4 linked regions of the Canis lupus familiaris genome follow. The protein of the gene in region 3 purifies or fractionates together with the protein of the main gene of each other region. This does not show direct contact. Links are inferred from orthologs where the notes say so. Each region holds a gene or a part of one and is shown on either strand. Other genes may lie near its edges.

What was found.
Region 1: the proteins of PEX19 (region 3) and PXMP2 purify together in Homo sapiens (affinity purification with mass spectrometry; 3 studies listed by BioGRID and IntAct, counting the BioPlex papers as one, with this or other methods). This does not show direct contact. The link is inferred for Canis lupus familiaris from reciprocal best matches to the Homo sapiens genes PEX19 and PXMP2.
Region 2: the proteins of PEX19 (region 3) and NAT14 purify together in Homo sapiens (co-immunoprecipitation; 3 studies listed by BioGRID and IntAct, counting the BioPlex papers as one, with this or other methods). This does not show direct contact. The link is inferred for Canis lupus familiaris from reciprocal best matches to the Homo sapiens genes PEX19 and NAT14.
Region 4: the proteins of PEX19 (region 3) and FAF2 purify together in Homo sapiens (affinity purification with mass spectrometry; 4 studies listed by BioGRID and IntAct, counting the BioPlex papers as one, with this or other methods). This does not show direct contact. The link is inferred for Canis lupus familiaris from reciprocal best matches to the Homo sapiens genes PEX19 and FAF2.

The regions. Positions count from the first base shown.
Region 1 is NC_049247.1:437,856-442,953, forward strand, and holds part of PXMP2 (peroxisomal membrane protein 2), read right to left. Parts: exon of another isoform or gene 4,716-5,098; intron 4,235-4,715; exon of another isoform or gene 4,102-4,234; intron 3,914-4,101; exon of another isoform or gene 3,894-3,913; coding exon 3,731-3,893; coding exon of another isoform or gene 3,452-3,730; exon of another isoform or gene 2,662-3,451; intron 313-2,661; coding exon 193-312; intron 1-192. UniProt on the Homo sapiens protein: Seems to be involved in pore-forming activity and may contribute to the unspecific permeability of the peroxisomal membrane.
Region 2 is NC_049222.1:102,986,450-102,992,530, forward strand, and holds NAT14 (N-acetyltransferase 14), read right to left. Parts: upstream 4,217-6,081; 5' UTR 4,169-4,216; coding exon 4,079-4,168; exon of another isoform or gene 4,049-4,078; intron 3,823-4,048; coding exon 3,706-3,822; intron 2,847-3,705; coding exon 2,298-2,846; 3' UTR 1,754-2,297; downstream 1-1,753. Other genes in the region: soluble scavenger receptor cysteine-rich domain-containing protein SSC5D, read right to left, coding at 165-191, 689-713; ZNF628 (zinc finger protein 628), read right to left, coding at 4,945-6,081. UniProt on the Homo sapiens protein: Probable acetyltransferase. May act as a transcription factor that regulates the expression of coproporphyrinogen oxidase by binding to a promoter regulatory element.
Region 3 is NC_049259.1:22,763,559-22,769,803, reverse strand, and holds the start of PEX19 (peroxisomal biogenesis factor 19), read right to left. Parts: upstream 3,481-6,245; 5' UTR 3,425-3,480; coding exon 3,355-3,424; intron 2,796-3,354; exon of another isoform or gene 2,540-2,795; coding exon of another isoform or gene 2,491-2,539; intron 2,071-2,490; coding exon 1,961-2,070; intron 1,536-1,960; coding exon 1,370-1,535; intron 699-1,369; coding exon 613-698; intron 1-612. UniProt on the Homo sapiens protein: Necessary for early peroxisomal biogenesis. Acts both as a cytosolic chaperone and as an import receptor for peroxisomal membrane proteins (PMPs).
Region 4 is NC_049225.1:37,776,865-37,783,119, forward strand, and holds the start of FAF2 (FAS-associated factor 2), read right to left. Parts: upstream 3,832-6,255; 5' UTR 3,747-3,831; coding exon 3,684-3,746; intron 372-3,683; exon of another isoform or gene 310-371; coding exon of another isoform or gene 262-309; intron 1-261. UniProt on the Homo sapiens protein: Plays an important role in endoplasmic reticulum-associated degradation (ERAD) that mediates ubiquitin-dependent degradation of misfolded endoplasmic reticulum proteins.

The sequences.
Region 1 (5,098 bases), on a different chromosome or scaffold from region 3:
TCCTGGACTGGGGGCTTTTCAAAAACATCTCTGGGACTAACAGATGAGGTGTGGACACCTGCTTCATCTCTCCAAATCCAGAATTGCTGATTCTGGGCAGAGAGAAAATCACCAATCATTCTAAGCAAAAATAAGGCTGGTAGTAGAAGATAAGGCCCCCTCTGGTTCTGCATGGTGCCAGCTGGCCCTCACCTGCAAAGGGACGTAGTTGATGTTGATGAACTGCACTGGGGTCCAGACTCGCCAGTTCATGCACAGTGCTGGCCAGAAGCTTCTCCTTATCTGGACAGCGAAAGCAGCTGTCTCTCTCCCCTGGAAAGGAGAGGAGTATGGATGGTGAGCAGTTGCTACTGCCATCAAAACAAGCTGGGGTTGCAAGGTCTGGAGGGCCCCAAACCCTAACATGATGATTTTTAAAACCTGGATTTTATTCAATTTGTACGTAGACAGCACACCTGTGTGCCTAATTAGTGTTGCAGCTATCAGGAGCCAACCGCATGGTTGAGAAATCAAGAGTGAGATAGCCCACTTGCTGACACTGTACTGATGGCCCTCATGGACTTTCATCACTCTTTACAGAGCTGACTGAATGGTGGGATTTGTGCTGCTGGCCAGGGGCAGCTATTTATGGCTCAGCTGTCAGTTCTCAAAATAATCTAAAAAACTGATGGATTTTTCAGGCAAAACTTGAAGTGTTTAAAAATTGAACCCCAATAAATTGATTCTAAAAGTAAGTGCAATACTCTGGTTTCTTTTCAGATTGTATAATCTTTTGCCTTTTAAAAGATAAGAGCATAAGAATAGCCATCTTGAAAAAGAATAGCAAGGGGAGGCCTAAATCACTAAAAATTTAAAAAATACTTTGAAATGATGGTAAAAGCTAAAAAAAAAAAAAACCCACCATACCATGGAAATCAATAGAATTCAGCAAAAGATCAGAGGTCCAAATAAAGGCCAGCATGTATGGGAATGAGAGAGTGATAAAGTGGATGTTTCAAAGTACAGGAGATTGTTCAATAAATGGTAACAAGACAATCTGCTATTAAATGGAAAGAAACAAGACAAGTATATCTCCCACATATAAATAAAAAAGGATACTAGACTATTTCTATTTATCTGTTTATCAAAATGTACACAATAAAATCATAAAACAAACTATAGGAGAATATTCCCAGTATTTTCCTTGAAGGAAGCCCACAAAGGAAAAGAATGACAGATTTGAGTACATATATTTTTTAAACTCCTGTATGGAGTAACACACTATAAATAAGCTTTATTTATGTAACTTCAAATGTTTAACTTTATCTGTAGCTAAAAGACAAAAACTTGAAAAATGGGAAAAGTATCTGCAGTCTGTATTTGGCAAAGGATTGAGATCCTTAATATACACAAATATACAAATCAGTGAGAAAAAAGCAAACACTGATAAAAAATAAACAGTTCATAGAAGAAATACAGCAAGCATATAAAAAGTTCAATCTCATAAGTAAAGATGTATACGTTATTTTTTATGTGTCAAATTGCAAACTATTTAAAAGAAAAATACAATCATGGTTATCAAGAGTGTGTGGAAGCCAACCACACTGGACAAAGCTGCGAGGGTTAAGTGCTCTGGGATCATAAAGCCTGGGTTTGACTGGACTCACAGGCTTGCAAGTTATGGCAACTTATGCTGTGGGCCTTAGCTTCCTCAAATATGGGGTTGACTTGCGGCTCAGATGACACAAAGCACTCAATGCAGAGCTTGGAACAAGTGCTCAATAAATGTCAGTTGTCTATACTGTTCTGTACCACTGCAGGAAGGACAAGCAAGGACAGCCTTTTTGGACAATTCTAGGAATTAACCAAACAGGAATCCTTACACAAAAGAGACAGGCAAATGGTGGAATACTGTGCAGTCCAGATATGGTATCTGTGATCAAAAAATGCTGGACGTTGACACAACACAGGGAATAGGGTCAATGATATTATAATAAGAGTTGTGGTACACATAGTGTAATGTATAGAGAAACTGAATCACTGTGCTGTATAACTGAAACTAACATAACATTGTCAACTATATTCAAATTAAAAAATTTTTTTGTTATTTTTTTAAAAGATTTTATTTATTTATTCATGAGAGATACAGAAAGAGAGAGAGGCAGAGACACAGGCAGAGGAGAGAAGCAGGCTCCATGCAGGGGGCCGGACATGGGACTCGATCCAGGGTCCCCAGGATCACATCCTGGGCTGAAGGTGGCGCTAAACCTCTGAGCCACCCGGGCTGCCCCTTAATGTTTTTATTTTATTTTATTTTATTTTATTTTATTTTATTTTATTTATTTTATTTTATCTTATTTTATATTTTATTTTATTATTTTATTTTATTTATTTTATTTATTTATTTTATTTTATATTTTATTTTATTTATTTATTTTATTTTATTTATTTTATTTTTTATTTTATTTATTTTATTTTATTTATTTATTTTATTTTATTTATTTTATTTATTTATTTTATTTATTTTATTTTATTTATTTTATTTATTTATTTTATTTATTTTATTTTATTTTATTTTATTTATTTATTTATTTTTATTTATGAGAGACAGAGAGAGAGAGAGAGGCAGAGATACAGGTAGAGAAACAGGCTCCATGCAGGGAGCCCGACATGGGACTCAATCCGGGGTCTCCAGGATCATGCCCTGGGCTGAAGGTGGCGCTAAACCGCTGAGCCACCCAGGCTGCCCCACCCCCCCAATTTTTTTAATGCAGATGCAGAGGTATCTGTAGTGTGTGTGGTATAATGTCCCACATATATCATTTATTTGTTGGGTACTTTACACACTTTGCTACCTCAGATTTCCTAAGAGCTTCTCTGACACTTCTTTTTACTATCAGGGATTCATTACTAACCAGTTAAGTTGAAGCATCTTTCCTGCTTCCCCCCAGGAATGCTTTAGACCACAAGAGGTGTTCTCAGGAACAAAAACTCAAGATGCTGTTTCAAAATAAAACCTGAAGAAGGATTTACCTGCTGTGATTGGTTGGAACAATTACTTTCAGAGCAGAACATGACACATCCAGGGTAACACATCCAGGGTATACACAGTGAATGGAGAGATGGGTGGAGGTGCTAGTGAACTGGGAAGGGACTTTGGCTAAGCACAGTGAACAGACATGCCTGGTGATTAGAGGTGAACACACCTCTCATGTGGTGGGTTTTAATGTTTTAAGTCTACGCTGATACGTTAACCTCTTCAGAGCACTTGTGATGTTCAGGCATTGAGTTAGCATAGGCTTCTGCAATACCATCAGGGGCCTAAAATTTCTGTTTCATGAATCTCACGGACCCCCTTCTGAGAATCCTGTTTATAAAATAAAATATATCAACTACACTACTGTACTGAAATATACTTTTCAAAATATTCAGGAAAAGAATCCTAGACCAGTAGATGTGCTTCCATATTAACCTATTCAGTAATGAGCCTTGAAGGCAAGTACGAGGAGTCACAGAACAAAAGATATCCTGTCGAGGATAAATGATGTGTGATATCAAGATATTTGTGACTTCTTACTGTGGACCAACACTTACTGCCAGTACAACTGTGGTTTACGTTGATGTTTATACACAGAGAAGTGAAAAATTTCAGTTTGAGTGTACTGAAAAGTTCACAGACCCTCTCAATTCCACCCACAGATGCCAAGTTAAGAGCTGCTGTGCCAGACAAGGAGCTATGGCAGAGACCAACCTCCAGGAAGTTCATGATGAGGAAGAACAATAGCAGGAAAGCTGGTGCAAAGAGGAGGCGGTCCAGGAGAAGCCTCTTGACCCCAGCCAAAGGGACCTCAGGAGGAATCCAGTGTTCCATGAAGAGGTAGAAGAAGTGATTCAGTGGCCCTGTGAAGAAGAACCTGAGGGCCCCCCGGTGATGGTGAGCAGGACTGCCATTCTCTGGATGTACCCTTCTTGGTCCAGCTTCACCTCCATACCCTGGAGTCCTAAAACCTGCCTTCCTGGAGTTCCCCATCACTAACCACACAGGCCTGTGTGGTCCTTCTAGAAAACAAGCTCTCTTTGAGAGCTTCAAGAATTTTTTTTTTTTTTTTTTTTTGTCTCCAGACTTGTTCCTGCCTTGGATCTCTAATCAGTCTCTACCTAGCCAGCTCCTACTCAACATTGTCAGCTTGGAGACTTTGTTCATGATTTTTCTGGACAATGAACCCACCGCTCTCCCAGCCATTCTCTATTCCAGGTCCTGTTTCATTGTCTTGATAGCATGTATCACTATGTCATGATCTCATTTGTTTAGTCATATGGTGCCCTCTTTGTCACTTTTGAGGTAAATGTCACAAGACACAATTGTGTCTGTCTATTCACTGCTGTGCCTGCAGTGCCTAGAACATGGCCTGGCTCAGAGTAGGTGCTCAAGAATAAAACCTGGTGCTGTGCATTGACTTGTCTGTACTGCTACTATGTATTTCAAAGTGTAGAGTACCTGGGACAGAACTGAACCCAGCCACTCCGTCTCCTGGTGCAACAAAACTGTAACTCTGTAAAATTCAGCAATAAAAAGATGGGCAGGGACCCAGGGGTCTTCCAATTTTTGACACTGGAAGTCCTTACACCAGTGGTTCCCAGCTGTTATTTCCTATCCTGCCACACATTAAGTAGCCTAGAGCAGGGGTCCTTAGTGGGAGAAAACAGAATTTTAACTGTACTTATTCTTTTTTTAGTGATCTCTAAACTGTGAAGCTTGACCTCATGACCTCGAGATCAAAAGTTGCATGTTCTACTGACTGAGCCAGCCAGGTGCCCTGAGAAGGAACAGAAGTCTTGAAGATGGAAACTGAGTGGATAAAGCCTCCCAGGGATTCTGACATGCTCCCTCCTTCCCGGGTGATTATGGCTTTAACTATAGTATAGAAACTTGTGATGACTGCAACCAACATGCTTACAAATACAAAGTGATATTTGTGAACTTTAAATTGAAAAAATGACTCATGTTGCAAAAGACTTCAAAATAATCCATCTATACAAAAACTATTGTTGGCCAGAGAACTCAGTGTGGATTTAATTGGTAAAACTCCTGAATCTCTGTGGTCTCTGCAATTCCAAA
Region 2 (6,081 bases), on a different chromosome or scaffold from region 3:
TTCTGGGTCCCCAGGAGAGCTCTGGCCTCCGTAGGAAGTAGGAGGTTGGTTGGCCAGCAGTTCTGAGGGGGAGAGTGCCCGAGGTCATAAGTGCATGGGCAGCGGCAGGACAGGGGTGGGTTGGCGCTGGACAAGGCCAGACAGAGGTGCTCGGGGCCACTTACCCACAGCCTGGATCCCCATCAGAGCCACTGGAAGGGAGGTTGGAGGTAGGGTAGAGTGAGGGCAGGCTGGAAAGGGTGCTTTCTCTAGGGCAGGCCCCTTGTCTTACATACCCCTTGCGCACGCGCGCGCACACACACACACAGCTGCACACCTCTAAACCAAAAACCCCACTGCTGGGAGGCAGGACTCTGGGCAAGATTCAGGTCCCTGAGACAGGCGGGGCCCCACATGCCTCTGGTCAGGGCTGGGAGCCAGGCCCTTTGTGCTCCCCAGAGACCCAGTCAGGGTCAAATGGTGTGTGACCCCCCCCCCAGTCAGGGCTGGTTGGGGTGGAGGGACGGGTAGGTCCCTGGGGTCCTCAGAGGGTGGGACTGGGTGTGCAGAAGGCTGGGTCCCTTGGGGAACCAGACGAGGACCAGATGTCCCTTATCCCAAGCACCAGGGACACGGCCCCGGAAGTCTGCGTTGCTTAAGTATATGGGGTCAGAGGTCCCCAAGTCCCCAAGGAGAAGGGGTCACTCACCAAGGAGGCAGGCCAAGACCCTCATGTTTGCAGAGTCCAGGGCAGGGACGGGGTGAAAGGGGACGCAAGCAGGAGAGGGGAGGAGGCTGTGGCCACCGATACCGCTACCGCCACCGGCACCGGAGGGAGGGAGGGAAGGAGGGAGGGAGGGAAGCGCCTGCCAGAGGAGCCCTGGACCGGGGAGGAGCAGGCAGTGGCCGGACGCTCTGCCAGAAGGAAGAGAGGCTGCCTGCCGAGGAGGCAGCAGGGGACAGGAGTGGGGGCAGGGAGGGGGCTGGCCGGCTGATGAGATCTGGGGAGGAGGGGGGTGGTGGCGGAGGGGAGGGAGGGTGTCCAACTGCAAACTCCCACAGGGAGCCAGGGAGCCTCCAGGCTGGTCGCCCTGCTGTGCTTAGAGATGCATAGGGTAGGGCGGGCTGGAGGCTGCTGGGACCCACAGGGGCATGCACAAGCACCCACCCGTCTGCCTCTTGTCCAGCCAGGGAACATGGCGACACCGGGGTAGAGCAGACTGAGAGATGGGGTTTGGGGACCTGGTGCAGCTGGGGCTCACAGTTCAGCAGCAAGAGGGCTCAGAGCCAGAAACCAGGAAGGACTTCCTGGATTGGGAAGGAAGACTGAGGAAGCCCTATGGGTTCCCCCTGGTGGGGTTGAATGCAAAACCTTGAGTCCCCCGTCTGAGGGAGCAGTGGCTGAACCCTGGGGAAACTGGGGTGGAAGGGGCCAGCAGGACTAAGGGCTGAGTCTTGGTTGAGGGAGGGGGACTACACACACACACACACACACACACACACACACACACACACGCACACACACACACACCCTGCCCCCGCCCCCCACTCGGCACCAGGCAGCTGTGAGGCGGAAAAAATTCGGTAATGGGGAGCATGAGTCAGAGGGCTGGCAGGGAGTGGGGCTGCCGTGAGCTCATTGCCTCCCCTTCTCCCTGTCCAGCACCCCCAGCAACAATTAACGTCAAGTCAGGGAAAAGGAGAAGCCAGACAGTGGGGAGGCTAGTCAGAGACAGACTGGAAAAGGCATCAGAGAGAGAGAGAGAGACGGACGTGCAGCAGTTTCAGGCTTTATTAACAATCGGGTGTAAAAAACCAGATGGGTTTGGCTGGCGCCCCTCTCAGCTCACCTTCTGGGGAGGGGCCTGGCATGGGCAGCCCTGTGCCCTCCATCCTTGCCAGGGCCTTGCTCTGGTCAGACTCCCTTCCCCTGTAAGGGCTCTGCTCATCCCCTCTGTGCAGACATCAAGCCCCTCCCCGTTCCCAGGAGGGCCTCGTCCCCATTTGGGGTGCCCCTGACCGCAGGTCCTAACCCATGGGGGTGGGCACACTTGCGGGCCTCCTGTCCTCCTCCCGACTGATCTCGCCCAGGCCTGTAGCATAAATTGTGCAACCTTGGCAGACGGACAGAGGAGACTTCTCAGTGCAGACAAAATCCGGGTCAGGGGGCTGGACAGGTTGACCTCTGCGAAAAGTTCAAGCCTACAGAGAGCCGTCAGCCTGCAGTGGAGTGTCCTGCCTTATGCAGGCCTGGGGACTCAACCCGCACACAGTAGCTGCTCATTAAGTGCTCTCCCTTCCTCCAGGGTCCAGAGTCCTCACAGGTCCTTGCTGAATTCCCGCACAAGTGTGTAGCCCATGCAGCCCCAGCTCCCTTCAGCCTGGTAGCCACAGCCCTCCAGCATCCCTGCCACGCCCCACGCTGCCACCGCCACAGGGACCACAAGCCTGGCCCGGGGCTCTCCCATGCCTCCTGCCCAGGCTCGCGCCCGGGATTCGGCAAAGGCCAGCAGCCGCCGGCCTACACCTCGGCGGCGGTGCCAGCGAGACACAGAGAGGCGGGTGACCCGGGCCCCATCCCCAGCACTGGACCCTGGGGCCAGGGCCAGGACGCCACACACATCACCCGAGCTGCGCACTGCCACCCAGGGGCCCCCCAGGCCGCCCGGTGGAGGCAGTGAGCCCCATCGGGCCCGCAGGCCAAGCTTCATGGCTGCCACAGCCAGGAACACAGGCAGGAGGAGGGCCAGGGCGAAGGAGGCCAGGACGAAGCGCAGACCACTGCTGGCTGCAGCCAGGAGGAGCAGGGCTGGTGGCCGTGTTAGGGCATGGAGGGCCACACGGTTCTCTGTGTCCTTCACACCAGCCTGTGGGCAGAAGTTGCTGTCAGAGCCAGGGTCCTGGGCCATACATCGGGCTGTTGGGCATCCGGGAGGAGTGGGGTGGGCTGTGCCCGGGAAAGGGGCGGAGGAGTGGGAGCTCCCAAATGAGAAGGCATTGTGATGGGGCCAAGGAACAGCAGGGAATAGGATTGCATCTGCCCTACCACCCTGGGCCTTGAGCAAGTGAGTGAGTTAGGAGCTGTGGGGGACACTGAGGCCACAGGGCAGAGGACTGCCCCAGTTCAGAGCAGGAGCAAGCTCCGGGCAGCAAGAGGTGGGCTCAGGAGGGGCCAGGCTGAGGCCCAAGGGATCTTTCTGCTTTGAAGAGTGTTGAGGAGGAGGCTGGGCTTTGGCTGGAGTCTGCAAACTATGGAGGGAGCTGGGACCATGCTCTTCCACCGCCCTCCATCTATTAAAACTTAAAAATAGGGATCCCTGGGTGGTGCAGCGTTTGGCGCCTGCCTTTGGCCCAGGGCCCGATCCTGGAGACCCGGGATCGAATCCCACGTCAGGCTCCCGGTGCATGGAGCCTGCTTCTCCCTCTGCCTGTGTCTCTGCGCCTCTCTCTCTCTCTCTCTCTCTCTCTCTCTCTGTGTGACTATCATAAATAAATAAAAATGTAAAAAAAAATTTTTTTAAACTTAAAAATAAAATCTCTAAACCCAAAGTAGGGCTTGAACTCATGACCCTGAGGTCAAGACCCAACCAGTCAGGCACCCCTAAAACCTCTGCGGAACCGGAAAGGAAAGGGACCGAGCCAGAAGGAAAAGAACGGGTCCCAGGAGTCCGGGCTGGCTCTGGCAAGTGGCTGAAGCCACGCACAAGGCACCCCGCGCGCTCTCACCTTCAGCATCTCCAGCACCAAGGGTTTCTCATCTTCCCTCATCTCCCGCACTGACAGGTGGTTGGGGGCCATGGCCGCCGCCAGGCTCCCGCGCCCCCAAAGGGCGCAGGCGTGCACCTGGTGAAAACAAGCAGGCCGGCGTCAGGGAGGCGCCCCAGACAGGGAGGACCAGCAGCAACGGGACCCTGACCGGGACCCTGGAGGCTGGGGCTCCCCAGGCGAGGTCCAGCACCCTGCCACCCGGGGCTCCCTCCCAGGCTCCCGGACGGCCCTGGGGAGTCAGCGGGACACCCCCAGCAGCCAGCGCCTGGACCACGCTCCCTGCCCCGCAGGCGTCCCCGACCCGCGCCGCAGGAGCAGGCACCGCGAGAACCTCGGCAGGCCGCTTCGGGCCTTCCACCAGGTGCGGGGGCTGCAGGGTAGTGAAGGGGGTCGCTTGCGGAAGTGACGTCACACCGCGCATGGAGGGGCGGGGTGTGCAGCCTGCCTTAGCAACAGTTGCCAAGCGTCCCGGCTGGGGCAGGTGGCGGGGCCCGGGCGCGCGCCGCGGAGAGGCCCGGAGCTGGGAGCAGCGACCCCCTAGGGCTGGGGTCGGAGCGCAGACCCGTACTCACCCGGCCCGCACAGGAGGAGCGCACGTTCGCTACCTGACCTTCGCCGGTTGCTAAGCAAGCGGAGAGGCGGGGGTGCGCGGCGACGGGAGCGGGCCGGCTCTCATTGGCTCCGGGGCCTTCGCGGGAGGGGCCGCACTCTGGACTCGCTCCTCGTAACCTCCCGGCCCCAGGAACCTCCGCTGCTGCGAACTACCTGTGCTCTCCGGGACCTCCGGGAGGATTCCCACGCGCCCATTTTTCAGATGCGGGGAGGGATGGGGTGACTTACAGCGAACACGTGACAAAACCACAATTCTAGATCCCAACTCCTCCCCACGATAGGGACCGCTGCATCCCTTTGTAAAATGACAAAAAGAACCGCACTTAGAAGCGGCTGGCCAAAAATCTCCAAGTGAGTCACCTGCGAGCCAGGAAGCAAGAGATACAAGACCCTCAAGGTCCCAAGCGGTGGCTATGGCCATGACATTCCCCCCACCCCAACCAGCCCCCAAGAACATAAAATACGGGAGAGAAGTTTCCAGTCTTTATTAGCAAGCCCAGCCTGCAGCTCCCCTCCCTCTAGCCCAGCCCAGCCCAGCGAGTTGGGGTCTCTGTGTAGGGCACACTTAAGTCCCAGTGGTTCTCCTCAAAATGTATGCACCAGCTGGACTGCGGGCAGAGTCTGGACAATCTGGATGGAGGGTAGGCCCTGTGGGGTCATACCTCCAGGTGCAGCGCCAGTGGGTACCACTTGTACCATCTGGGAGGTGGGAGCTGTGGAGATGCCCACTGGGGCAGAGGCTTGGCCAGGTTGGGGGGGGGCCAGCAGCTGCAGTGTGGCAGCACCTCCCCCACCGCTGCTATTGTCCAGCAGTTCAGTGGCAGGTGCACTGCGGATGATGAGCAGCTTCTGTCCTGGAGGGCCAGGGGCTGGAGGCTCGGCCAGCCCAGGAGGGAGGGTCTCTACCTCCTGCACACACAGCTGGGTCTGTTCCCCATCTGCCCCACTCAGCACCAGGACACTCTGCAACCCCTCGTCTGTCTGCAGTGTCTCAAACAGCACATCCTGGACAACACCAGCACTGGCCTCACCATCACCTGGCTCCCCAGAGCCTGGACCTGCCAGCAACTCCTCAGCTGTTCCACTCTGAACCACCAGCAGATTGGGGGCCTCAGGAGTCACAGCTCCCCCGCTGGGATTGGAGAGCTGGCCTGCCACAGGCTGGAGCTGGACTGTGGTCACTTCCTGAGCCGGCTGGAGCTGGACTGTGGTCACCTCCTGGGTGGGCTGGAGCTGGACCGTGGTCACCTCGGGGGCTGGCCGGAGGGGCTGGAGCTGGACCCCGCTCACTTCCTGTGCCCCTGCCTCCCCACCCCCTACATTCTGCAGAACAATGAGGCTCTGCCCTCCCCCACTGGCCCCTGCGTTGCCCCCTCCCTGGACCCCCAACCCCCCAGGACCCGGCAGCCATACTACTCCAGGCCCCTGACCAGATTTCCCTGCTGCACGTGTGCCCTGCCTTCCGCGGCGGCCCCCAGCACCAGTACCGGAGGAGGGCAGCAGGATGAGCTTGGGGGGAGGAGGTGGGGGCGCAGGTGTAGGGGGTTGGACGCTGCTAGGGATGAGCTGGAGGCCCTGGGCCGTCTGCACCAGGAGAAAAGTCTGGGAGTTGGGGGCTGCCTGGCCCGGGGGTGGGGCCGCAGCCGGGCCCCCTGCCACCTCGAGGGAGAGTGTGGCCTGGAGATGGGGGAGCACATGGACATCTTGGGTGGTGGATGGGGC
Region 3 (6,245 bases):
GAATGCACATTTAGTAGAAATTGTACTTCACATTTTGAGTTTGGATCTTTTCCCAGGCTAGCGAAACACAGATGATACTCTCCTGTGATGCTGGGCAGCAGCTGTGACTCCCAGGCCACCACGTGATCACCGGGGTCAACAACCGATGCACTAACAGCCATTCTATCTGCTTACAACCGTTCTGTTTTTCATATTCAGCACAGCATTCAATAAATTACATGAGATATTCAATACTTTATTAGAAAATAGGCTTTGTGGTGGATGATTCTGCCCAACTCTAGGCTTGTGTAAGTGTTCTGTAGTGTTTAAGGTAGACGAGGCTAAGCTGTCACGTTCAGTAGGGTAGGTGTATTAAATGCATTTTCAACTTATGTTATTTCCAGCCTATGATGGATTTATCAGGCTGTAGCCCCATTATAAGTTGAGGAAGATCTGTATATTGCCTTCTTGAGATGCTTACCACCCTTTCAGGTGGGAGAAAACGATTTACACTTGCAACAAAACAGTGTGGCAGGAACAGACTTTAGATGCTACCCAACAAAGTCTGTCTTTTGAGACTCTGCTGCTGATATGCCTGAGGGGTCCCTCGTGGACCCCACCCCTTTCCCTCACCTGAAGATCAGTAGCATTTTTGGCAAGTCCACTTAGTGTCTCCTTCAGGCAAGACGTAAATTCTTGTTGGGATGTCGCATCACTGCCTAAGAAAGATCAAGAAAGCCATATTAGGGGACACCTGGTGGCTCAGCGGTTGAGCATCTGCCTTTGGTTCAGGGCGTGACCCCGGGGTCCTGGGATCGAGTCCCACGTCGGGCTCTCTGCAGGGAGCCTGCTTCTCCCTCTGCCTGTGTCTCTGTCTCTCTCTCTCTCATGAATAAATAAATAATCTTAAAATAAAAAGCCATTTTAGATTTTAACTGTCTGCTTACCCAGACTGACTTGGTTATCAAGTAGATATAGATATATCTATAGATATATAGATATAGAAGATATAGAGATCTTCTATATAGTAGACATAGATATAGAACATTTACTAGTGGATCACTAGCACACCAATCTCTTGAATCCTCTGTGGTTCCTAGTCATTTTCATGAAGCTACATGAACTGCGCATGTCAGTTTATTCTCCACGATGACACCCACAACACTACGACCTTTAAAATGGTCAGTCTTCAGTCATCTTTTCAATGTCTTTTCAGCCTCCTCCCTTTCATCATACCATGTTCCCATCCCTCTTCCCACCTCCCGGCCCCTCCCCACAAGCAGTGATATGATGAGTGCTATCAGCTTTACTAAGAGACCTAGTGTTCTCAGGCAACACAGATGTCAGGACTTGGTTCACAGAGTTCCAGCCCTCTGGGCTGCCTTCTCACCCACTCTCCCTGCAGCCTCTGAGAGCTTCTGGAACTGCTCCACCAGGTGGGGCTCTTCCTCAGCCAACTCCTTCATTGCCTTCTCGAACTCTGCAGTGGCTTGGGAAGCCAGCTCGCTGTCGAACAGTTCCTGGAAAAACTTCTCTTGGGAGGCGAAGAGGGCATCCTGCAGGGAAGGGGTGGCCAAAATGCATCTCTTATTTGGCACCCCTCTGACACAAGCCACAGGCAGTGGCTCTGAGAAATGCAGTGCTTCCCTCCTGCCCGCCTCCACTGGACATTCTAACTACCTCTCTTAAGGAGAACAGTAAAAAAGGCATCTGGCCACTGAGGAAAGGGTATATATAGGATGGCATTCCCAAAACAATCATGTAAACCTACTCTTTTTTTTTTTCAAAGAACTGCCTTGAGAACCCACCTCTCCATCATGGAAAGTCCCTGTTTACCAGGACTAAGGCCTGCAAGAGCGCTCAGCACTCTAAGGCCGAGGCCTCCTCCCCCCATCCTCTCCAACCCACAGGGGCCTGCCCCACGTCTGCTCAGAGATGCACGCCCATCCCCTCCCATCCCTTAAAAGGGTGGAATTTATACTTTGGCAGTGTCTCCTGGCGATCTCTTCTGGGCCCCTGAAGCATCAGGGGCCGTGGTGGTAGGAGGGGGTGCTGGGGAGGGTTTGGCCTTATCGAAATCATCAAGAGCACCTTCAGAGACAAGAGACACAGTGTGTGTGTTGGGGGGTGGATGAGGATGCAAGGCTGCGGTGCGGGGGGGGGGGGGGGGGGCGCGTTCTGGGCAAAGCATTAGGAGAACAATCAATGTGCCAACCTTCCTAAAAAAAAAATTTTTTTTTTGAGTCTCCCTCTCCTGGCCCACCCTTCAATCAGCTTCCCCACCTCCCTCCTCATCTACCCACCCAATTTATGGTGATCAACGGTAAAAGGAATCCCTTAGGGTGGAAGAGGAGGCATCTCTCCCAGAGCCGGGAGGAGAGAATTAAGAGTTGTGCAAACGCATCTCCCACTACACAGAGGCCTCCTTGCCACACTGTAACGATTTCCCAGAAATCCCATATAAACGTCTAAGGGCAGAGAGCACACATGTCCCTCAACCCCTGGACTCACTCTGGAGACCTTCAGAGAATGATTTTTGGCAAGGAAGCGGCAGCCACATGATGTTCCACCCGGCGTCCCCTGGGTCCTGGTGTGGCACAGACTTGAGGGCTAGCACACCGGACTCCCCGGAGGGCACTGAGGTCTCTCCTCTTACCCTCCGACTCAGCCCTGCCTCAGCCCTGCCGGGGAGGGGGGCGGAGCTCCCGGAGTTCCCCGCAGCCGGCTCGCCCCTGCAGAGAATGTGCCAATGCACAGGGCCACCTGGCGCTCCTCACCGTGTCTGACCGTCCTTCTGTCTGCCCACGTCTCTGTGACTGGGCAGGAGACAGAACGTGTTCACCTCTGCCCTGAACACCTGAGTCCTCACCGCCATCCCGCCTGCCAGGCTGGGGGAGGAGGGGAGGAGGAGGGGTGGCGGGCACGACACGGGCCCTTGTGGGCAAGCAACCACCCGAGGACGGGAGGGCCGGGGCGGGCAGGAAAGAACATGCGGCCTGAGTGGGGGCGCGGGGGCGGCTCTGACGTGGCGAAGGGCAGGTGAGCGGCGGCCGCCGACCCCAGGCGCCGAAAGCCGCTGCCGGCGGGAAGTTCGGTCCCGGCACCTGCGCGGCGAGGCCAAGGCGGGCTGGGGTCGGGCCGTCCCGCGCGCTGCCGCTCCCCCTGCGGCCCGGGCACCGCCGGTCTGACCCGCCGCCGAGGACGGAGACCGCGGCCCGCGCGGCCCAGGGGCTCGCTCCGGGGTCGCAAGGAGACCCGCCGCCCCCGCCAACCCTGCGGGAGCCTCCCCCGCCCCCAGGACCTCGGGGCTCGCTTTGCCCCGGAGCGAGCCCTCACGACCGCCCGCGTCGGGCCTCTCGTCCCACGAGCTCTTACTTTCCAGGAGCTCTTCCAGTTCCCGGTCCGCGTCGGCACCGGCAGCACAGCCCTCCTCGGCGGCGGCCATCTTGCTCTGTCCGGCTTGCCGTAGGGGGCGGGGCTCCGCGGCGCTCGGCCCGCCCCTCGCCCCGCCCCTCGCCCCGCCCCGCCCCCTCGGGCAGCCAATAGCAGAGCGGGCCGGTGCGGAGCCGCCATCTTTAAAGGGACAGGAAGCTTCGTGGGCTTGTGTTTTTGTTTTCGGTGTGGGTTTTTTTTTTTTTTTTTTTTTTTTCTCCCCCTTCTCCTCCTTTCTGGCCGGGAACCGTTGAACTAACGGCATGGGTCACTTAGCAGCCCGGCTCCCTTTACCGCCGCCTCTGGCACTCTCCGGGAAGCAGCCGTTTCCTCGTCTCGCCCAGGGCACCCGGCGTTCGGGCCGCTTTCCCCCGCGGCCTGCCCGGCTCCCCGCCGCCGCCCCGCCCCGCCCCGAATTCAACCACCACGCGGGCCGGGACTCGCTCACTGCGGGGCCCTGGCGCCCTGCACCCCGCCCTGCACCTGCCCGGACCCCGGCGGGGCGCCCCCTCCCCCCCCCCCGTTCCCCAGCGGCGGGGCGGGGCGGGACCGGACGATCCAGGCCCGGCAACTGGGAAGCCGGCGCCGGCGGAGGCAGCCCCGGCAGGAAAAGCCAGTGTGCGCGCCTGGACCGAGCCGGGGACCCCGCAGACCCCGCAGCGGCGCCCCGGCCTCCCCCGAACCATCTCCTTTGCTCAGAACCCAGCGCCCAACCCAGGGATGCTGGGGCGCTCGCGTGGACGCAGGCGGACACCTGCCTTCCCTGCCGACACAGGGCGCCCCTGCCTCAGACGGAGGCCTGCGTTAGCACTTTGGGGGCATCCATTGCCTTTGGGACCCCGTGCTGGGCTCCGCGGACGTAGGGGGGTGGGGACCGCTGCTCGGGGATGAGGCTGGAGGCGGCCCGGACCGGCACACGGAGGTGTGGTGCCAGGTCCACGGCTTCGGAGAACCGTCGAGTGCTGCGGGGCGTAAAATGGGGAAATCACATCTAAATGAAGTCCCTTGGCGGCTTTCGTCCTTGGCTTCCCGAGAACACGCTGGAATGTGTGTCGAGCACCAGCTTAGGTACTCTCTGCTTCCCAGACAGGGCGCAGACTTTTTTTTTTTTTAATTATTTCATGAGAGAGAGAGGCAGGCTCCCTGCAGGGAGCCTGACGTGAGATCTGGGACTCGTTCTGGGTCTCCAGGATCAGGCCCTGGGCCTAAGGCGGTGCTGAACCGCTGAGCCCCCCAGGGATCCCCCAGACTCCTAAATCACACCTGTGCAACACGCGCTGTATTGTTCCGCCCCAAGGGCTGTGACTGAGGACAAAACATCCTGAACCCAAAGTCAGCTGAGCTAAGTCCCAGTCCCAATTCTGTAACCAACTGCTTTTGTTCAAAACCCTTCACCACTCAAGACCTCAGATGGCAACTACATAACGTTAAAGTTCTTTTCAATTCTAAATTTCCATAAGGGATCCCTCTGATTAACCCCTTTCTCCCCAACACCTGCAGAATCTATCCCAGGCTTCCTTCCTTCAACTCCAAACCACTTACATGTGTCTTTCGAATGTGACTATAGTTACATCAATCATGTTACAGGTATTTCTATTGGTTTCACATTAATGTGGTAACATTAGCATGTTAATAAGCAAAATACCAGAAATAAATGAGAACATGAAGTTGAAAACAAGCACGATTCTTCCTTTGCCTCATTTCTTAAACTTGCTCTGCTTTTCTCTCACTAGGGATACTCCTAAAACCTCATCTCCACATTTATTCATCACCTGCCTTTCTAATGTATACTGAATACTGTTGCAAAATAGTATTTTACAGCATTTTTTTTTAAAAGTAAGACTCCATGCCCAGCATGCAGCCCAACACAGGGCTTGAACTCACAACCCTGAGATCAAGACCTGAGCTGAGATCAAGAGTTGGACCCTTAACCAACTGACCCACCCAGACACCCCTACAGCATTTTCTTTATACCATCCTCTCACTTAAGGACTTAACGGCTCCTCATTGTTTATTGCCCAACTGCAAATTCTTGCCTGATATTCACAGTTATTTTACATTTATCCATTTTGTTTCCCCAACAACTTGAGCTTCAGGAAGCATAGATTGTCCTCCTTTTGTTATATCCCTCAGTTCAGAATAAAGTTTGTTTGTATCAGAGTAGTTTTGAGGGGATCCCTGGGTGGCTCAGTGATTTAACACCTGCCTCTGGCCCAGGGAGTGATCCTGGAGACCCGGGATCAAGTCCCACATCGGGCTCCCTGCATGGAGCCTGCCTCTCCCTCTGCCTGCATCTCTGCCTCTCTCTCTCTCTCTGTGTCTCTCATGAATAAATAAAATCTTTAAATGAAGTTTTGTAATATAACTTTTAAACTTATAAAAAGTGTTTTGTGGGGTTTTTTTTGCCAAAATTTATCACCAACTTGCCTCTGTTTACAGAAAGAATGTTGACAGCTTGAGAATGTCATCAAAGCAGTATGCAAGTTCTTGAGGAGGCAAACTTTGGGGATACTAAGTTTAAGCAAGCAACTTTTAAAGCTAAAAAACACCAAGCCCTGTGTTCTTTGACGCAGGATTCCATTTCGAGGAGATTGTCCTACAGACACACTTCCCTAAACTGTACAATGTATGTTAAAGTTACTCATTGCAGCACTGTTTATAATAGCCAAAGATGGAAAACAATCCAAATACCCATCAACAAAGCAGGCAATTTACATAAACCACAGTAAATCATACAAGGGTACACTAGGCAGAGAAGAAAAGCAAGGGAAGCTAATATACGATACAAATATCTTAAATATGGTACATGATAAAACTAACAAGGTGCAAAATGA
Region 4 (6,255 bases), on a different chromosome or scaffold from region 3:
AATCGAAAAGAAAAGAAAAGAAAAGAAAAGAAAAGAAAAGAAAAGAAAAGAAAAGAAAAGAAAAGAAAAGAAAAGAAAAGAAAAGAGAGGGAAGGGAAGGGAAGGGAAGGGAAGGGAAGGGAAGGGAAGGGAAGGGAAGGGAAGGGAAGGGAAGGGAAGGGAAGGGAAGGGAAGGGAAGGGAAGGGAAGGGAAGGGAAGGGAAGGGAAGGGAAGGGAAGGGAAGGGAAGGGAAGGGAAGGGAAGGGAAGGAAATTTCTTACTCCCATACAAAAGCAGAAAGGAATCATTTCTTCCTCCTGGCCTTGCATATAGCTCCTTTAGTCCCTTCTCTCTGTCCATGTCATTTTTCTCCAGGTGTTCAAACAGCAACCTAAAAGCAGTAAACCAAGGCACTAGAGGAGTCTGTTATATTTGGATATTTGGGAAAATGGGGTTCAATAAAGTAACCCTACCCATATCTGCATTAACTCTTAAGACCTATTCTCTTCCATTTGAAACAGCTTAAAACAAACATGTGCATTCATATTCAATTGGTTCCAAAATAAACAGAAGAAAAGGATAATTAGAAAAAAATTTTAGAGGGACGCCTGGATGGCTCAGTGGTTGAGCCTTTGGCTCAGGGCGTGATCCCGGAGTCCCAGGATTGAGTCCCACATCGGGCTCCAGGCATGGAGCCTGTTTCTCCTCCCCCTGCCTCTCTGTGTGTCATGAATAGATAATAAAATCTTAAAAAAAAAAAAAAAAAAATCTTAGAAAAAATCAAATGGTCTGAGAAACACGATAAATATACTCTGGGAAGTTCCAGTCAAATCACATGTCATAAAAAAAAAAAAATGAAACAGAGGAAACCTAAGATTTCTAAAATATTTTACTTTTGCTAATTTCAATACATCAAATGAAGCAATATTATTGAGAATTCGTGCCTAGCAGTACCACCCGGTTCTGTCCTGACTCCTATGGATATTCCAAGCACACACTCCAAAGCGTTAGTGAAGGAAACCTGAAACTTAAGTGTTATGCTATTCTCTAGCTGAAAAAAACCTTTGATGGCTCCCTATGTATACAGAGTAAAATTTAAATCATTTTGCAAAGCTTTGAAAGGCCTCCAAAATCTGACTCTAATTTACCTTTCCAATCATATTTTCCACTTCCAATTCTCTCAATCCATCACAACAAACATTCCACACTATTCCATCTTCATACATTGCTTGAGCCATTTCCTCAGCTTTGAGCATCCCTCTGCCTACTACCTGTTGAAATTCTATTCCTCCTTCAAAATTAGCAAAGTACAGTGGAAAGAACCCAGCCTTAAAGTCCGATTCAGACCCACTACAGTTCTAATTCTAATTCCATCCTATTTAATAGCTCAATGAACTTAGGCAAATACTTCAATAGATCGGTTTCCTCACTTAGGAGCAGCTCTATCATCTATGGCACTTTATAATGCTATTTTGAGAATTAAGTGTAATAGTTATAAACTATCAAGCACCATGCCTAAGGCACAGTAGATACTTAATAAATAAATGGTTAACTACTAGGTCATCCTCTCTTCTCTCCTCCTCCTACCTCCAGGAATATTCCTATCCTTCCATAAATTCCCATAGCACTTTGTTTATATCATAGCATACTATAAGCACGAATATACCGCAAGATACTCATTATTCACGTATGTATGTTAGCTTGCTTCTACAGTAGGTTATACGTTAGAGGATTATGGGTATGGATCTCTAAATCTCTGCCACTTAATACTTTTGTGAGTTATTTAATCTCTCAGAATCCGTTTCTTCATTAACAAAACGAATGAGGCTTAATTCCTTAGTGTTAAGAGGTTTAAGAGTTAAAATACATTAAATATCTGGTATAATGCTTGACATCTAGTAAGTTTCAAAGAACGTTCAATGGCAATTGAATGATGAACCTGATCCAGCAACTGCTTAAAGAACACAAAAATGCAAAATGCATTTGCCTTGGTAAATCCAATTTCACAAAGCAATCTACTTTTTTGGTTTTATTTTTAAAGTAAGTTCTACCTCCAATGTGAGGCTTGAACTCACAACCCTAAGATCAGGAGTTGCATGCTCTACTGACTAAGCCAATCAAGGTACTCCTCACAAAGCAATCTTAATACAACTTTAACCTACTACTCACCTCTTACCAATATAAGCGTCCAATGAAGACAAAACAGAGGTATCCATGTACTGTACCTCAGAAATACTACGTTTTCATGTCTTCGGAGCATCAGCCCAAGTATATCATGACATAATTCATATCACCTCAGAATACTTAATCTGGAACCTTATCCCTAAAGAGCTGTAAGGGGTAAAATGTCCTGCCAAATTAAACAAAACTTTGAAATAAGTGGTCCACCAAGAAGAGGAAGCCGGTTGTCTATTGTTTAATTCATTCTGATCCTAATTTGCTGTGTCCTCAATTTCTCAAGTCAAGAGCTCAGGAAAGGTTCTGGAAAGATGGATCTGGCTTTAAATCTGATACTACCACTTACTGGCTATGAAACCTAAGTATGTTACTTCCTTAAGCCTCATATTCCTCATCTGTAAAATAGGCCTTGTAACAGCATGAATCTCAAGGTTTGTAGTATTAAATACGATCTAGTATGTTATGTGTTTAGCAAAGTATTTACAGCATGGTAAGTACTCCATAAATGATATTTGAACTAGCAGTGCCTGAGCACTAAGGTTCTTGGTAAATAATGCCAAATTAATGAATATTCAGCACATTTTATATTCGGAAGAAAGTGTACCACTAACTTACTCTATCCTAAGTTAAATAATGATGAATAGTAGCAATACCGCTTGGGAACATTTCACAGTTTACAAAGCCCTTCATAGATCCATAAACTCATTTTAAGCTCACGATATCCTTAGGGGGTAGACATTTTTACGAGAAGTACTTTAGAAATAAGGAAACTGGTATCCATTAGGGTGATAAAGGGCCAAGGTTACCCACCCTATTGGTCTCCTCCAATCGTTTTCTCCAACTCAGAAGTAAGTGCTTAGTGCCAAAAGTTCTTAACACGACTACCACTAAAAGGAGGCAGATTTCTGCAAGTTACCACCCACGTCAAGCACTGTCAAGAACGTGAGTCCAGGAATAAGCCCAGGGTAGTAAACCCCGTCAGAAGCCACTGATACTTAAAATTGTTGCCTGGTTTCCTTAGGTGGTGTCCTCCCACACCTTTAGGGCGGGGGCCAGGTCTGCCACCTCCCCCACCAGAGCGCCCAACACAGGACCAGGCACCCAAGAGGCCATCAATATATATTTGCAGAAATAGCATGGGATCCTGGTAGGTTTTCCAGAGACCCGAAACGAGGCCAGCTCCGCGGTGGGGATTAAGCATCTGGGTAGTACTAGAGTCGAAGGGCGGAGAGGGTCCGACGGGTAACTGGGCTGGGAAGAATGGTAGAGAACGGGTGTTGCTAAGGGAAACCAGAGAAGCTGACCCGCGGAGGGGTGATGAGAGGGCCGCAGTCCTGGCTGGAAGGCGGAGGACCGACAGAGGCTCGGGGGCCGGGAGCAGCAGGGCAGTTGGCGTCTGGGGGGGAGGGGGCCGCCGCTGATCTGAGGAGAATCTCGGGCCCAATCTGAGGGAGGTTCTGGGCTCCAACAGGGGCCCACTCCCCAGCCCGTGACGGCATTTCCTGCACCGAGTACTCGCTGCTACCTGAAACTGCAGCAGCTTCTCTGTCTGCTCCTGGGTTAGATCCCGCTCCTCAGGCGCCGCCATTTTGCCGCCGCCTCTACGCTTCTGACCCGTCCGCACCGTCACCCGCCGGAAATGACCTCAGCAGCAACCACGTCCGGTCTGAACGGCCGCGGGCGCGCAGCTGCGTCTGCGCGTTTTGCGCGTTCTGTCACCGGGGTGCTCGTGGTGACAGTTCCCGCCGTCAGAGGGCGCCACTCTCGAGCAATCCCGAACACTTCCGTAAATGGCCGAGAGGCTGTCGCTCTGAACGCTGTGGGCGACGAATGGATCTGCTCAGACCCAAGGCTCCTGAATAAGATCGCAAATTGCCGAGAGGTCCCGAGGGCTCCTCGAGAAGCTCCGGAAATTCCCGAATGCCAATTGGCAGTTTTCGTCTGTTTCCTAAACCACTTTCCCATAGTCTCCCATATTCCAGAGTATTTCTTAGGAGATTGTGGCCGTTCCAAAATATCGGGCGTCTGATGTTTGATTCCTTCCATGACGTTTTCAAGAGCGCCTGACCATCTCTCAGGAGATTCCGAAAGACCCTGAATAGTGTGGTTAGGTATTTCTGATGCCGTCTGGAGCTGTAAGTTGTGAAAGGCTTCAGCCACGTGAAAATCGGGGCTTCAGAGTCGCTTGTTAGGATTGTTTGGACTTGGCCACCTGAGACTTTGACGGTTAATGGCGCTACCAGCCTTGGGCAGAGCTTTCCATCCACTCAGGTGGTGACTGTACCCCTACCTGCCTCAGGCCCATTGGCCCGACATCCCTTGATAGACAGAGGGAAAATCCTGGACTGGGATCGGGATACTTGGGTTCAGGGTCCAGTGCCCACCTGGAAAAGTGCTGGACGTCCTTGGACAAACCACCTCCTCTCTGGGCCATTTTGCCATTGGTGGAATGGGGTTCCCCCGAGGCCACTGACAGACATGCTGCCTCAGCTCATCTCCTTGGAGGTAGTCCCTCACCCTTTCCACTGCCTTATTTCTACCCTTCACTGTCTGACTTCCTTTGCACTTTCCCTGACCCTTCAAACTGCCACCTCTGTTTAGATCTCTTTTTCAATTACACTTTTTTTTTTTTTTTCCTTCTGCCATCTGCTTCTGTCCCCCTCCAGAAGGCCTGGACAAGGCAGAGGGGTCTGGGTCTGGTGTCTGCTTTTCCCAGACTACCTGTATGTGTACCTGGGAAGTCACTCTGGCTCAGCATCCGTGGAATCCCACCCCTACCCACTTTAAAGGTCTGATGAGGCAAGATAGGACAAGAGGTGCTTTGAAAGCTGAAGTTAGTTATGTGAGGACTACATTAAGGGATGGAAGGGCACTTCTTACAGGCCTGTATCATGTAGATCTTAACCAGGTCGGCACAAGCTGCATAACTAATAGCAATACCTTGAATTTTTCTTAGACCTTTAAGGTCAATTTGGAAGTAAACAGATGTGCCTTTTACATCAACTCAAACCGCAAAGGAGACCTAGTACTATTCAATATCTTCGATAATGTTGGATGCAGCCAAACTAGATGAGAGATTGTAAAATCATACACCCTCTGGAGTTATTGCATAATTCTGGTTTAAGATATATTCCTTCAACAGATAAACTTTGTAGTTCTACTAAAAACCATGGAATGTTTTTCACTTCCTCAAAGAAATACATCCTTTCTTGGTCTACTTTTCTGTTTTCTTTGAATTAAGACATTGTTACAAAAATATTTTATTTTTTTAATCTACCAGTAAGAATTTGCCTCAGTGTAGAGAACACAATGTGGCAAACTGGAGAGTTCATTCTCTGTGCAAAGGTGGATTCTGCTTTTTAGCCCTAGCTGATGGCTTACATGTAAGATCAGTATTGCTAGGACTTCCCATTTCTTTTTATAGCTAATTCATTTATTTTATTTTTTTAAGTAAACTCTTCACCCAACTTGGGGCTTGAGCTCATGATCCTGAGATTAATATTCATATGCTCTACTGACAAAGCTAACCAGGCCCCTAGAACTTCTCATTTTTAGTTTTATTAATTTTTTAAAATATTTATTTGAGAGAGAGAGTACATGTGGTATGGAGGGGGAGAGGAAGAGGGAGAGAGAGAAACCCCAAGCAGACTCCAACCTGAGCGTAACTCCATCTCATGATCCCGAGACCACGACTTAAGCCATTACCAAGAATCACACATTTAATCGACAATGCCACCCAGGTGCCCCCAAAAGTTCCCATTTTTAAAAGAGCACCTACAGGGATCCCTGGGTGGCGCAGCGGTTTGGCGCCTGCCTTTGGCCCGGGGCGCGATCCTGGAGACCCGGGATCAAATCCCATGTCGGGCTCCCTGCATGGAGCCTGCTTCTCCTTCTGCCTGTGTCTCTGCCTCTCTGTCTCTCTCTGTGTGACTATCATGAATAAATAAATAAAATCTAAAAAAAAAAAAAAAAAAGAGCACCTACAAATGTCCATCAACTGAGGAATGGAAAAAGAAGAGGTGGTATATATATACAATGGAATATTGCTCAGCAATCAAAAAAGAAATCCTGACATTTGAAACAATGTGAATGAAGCT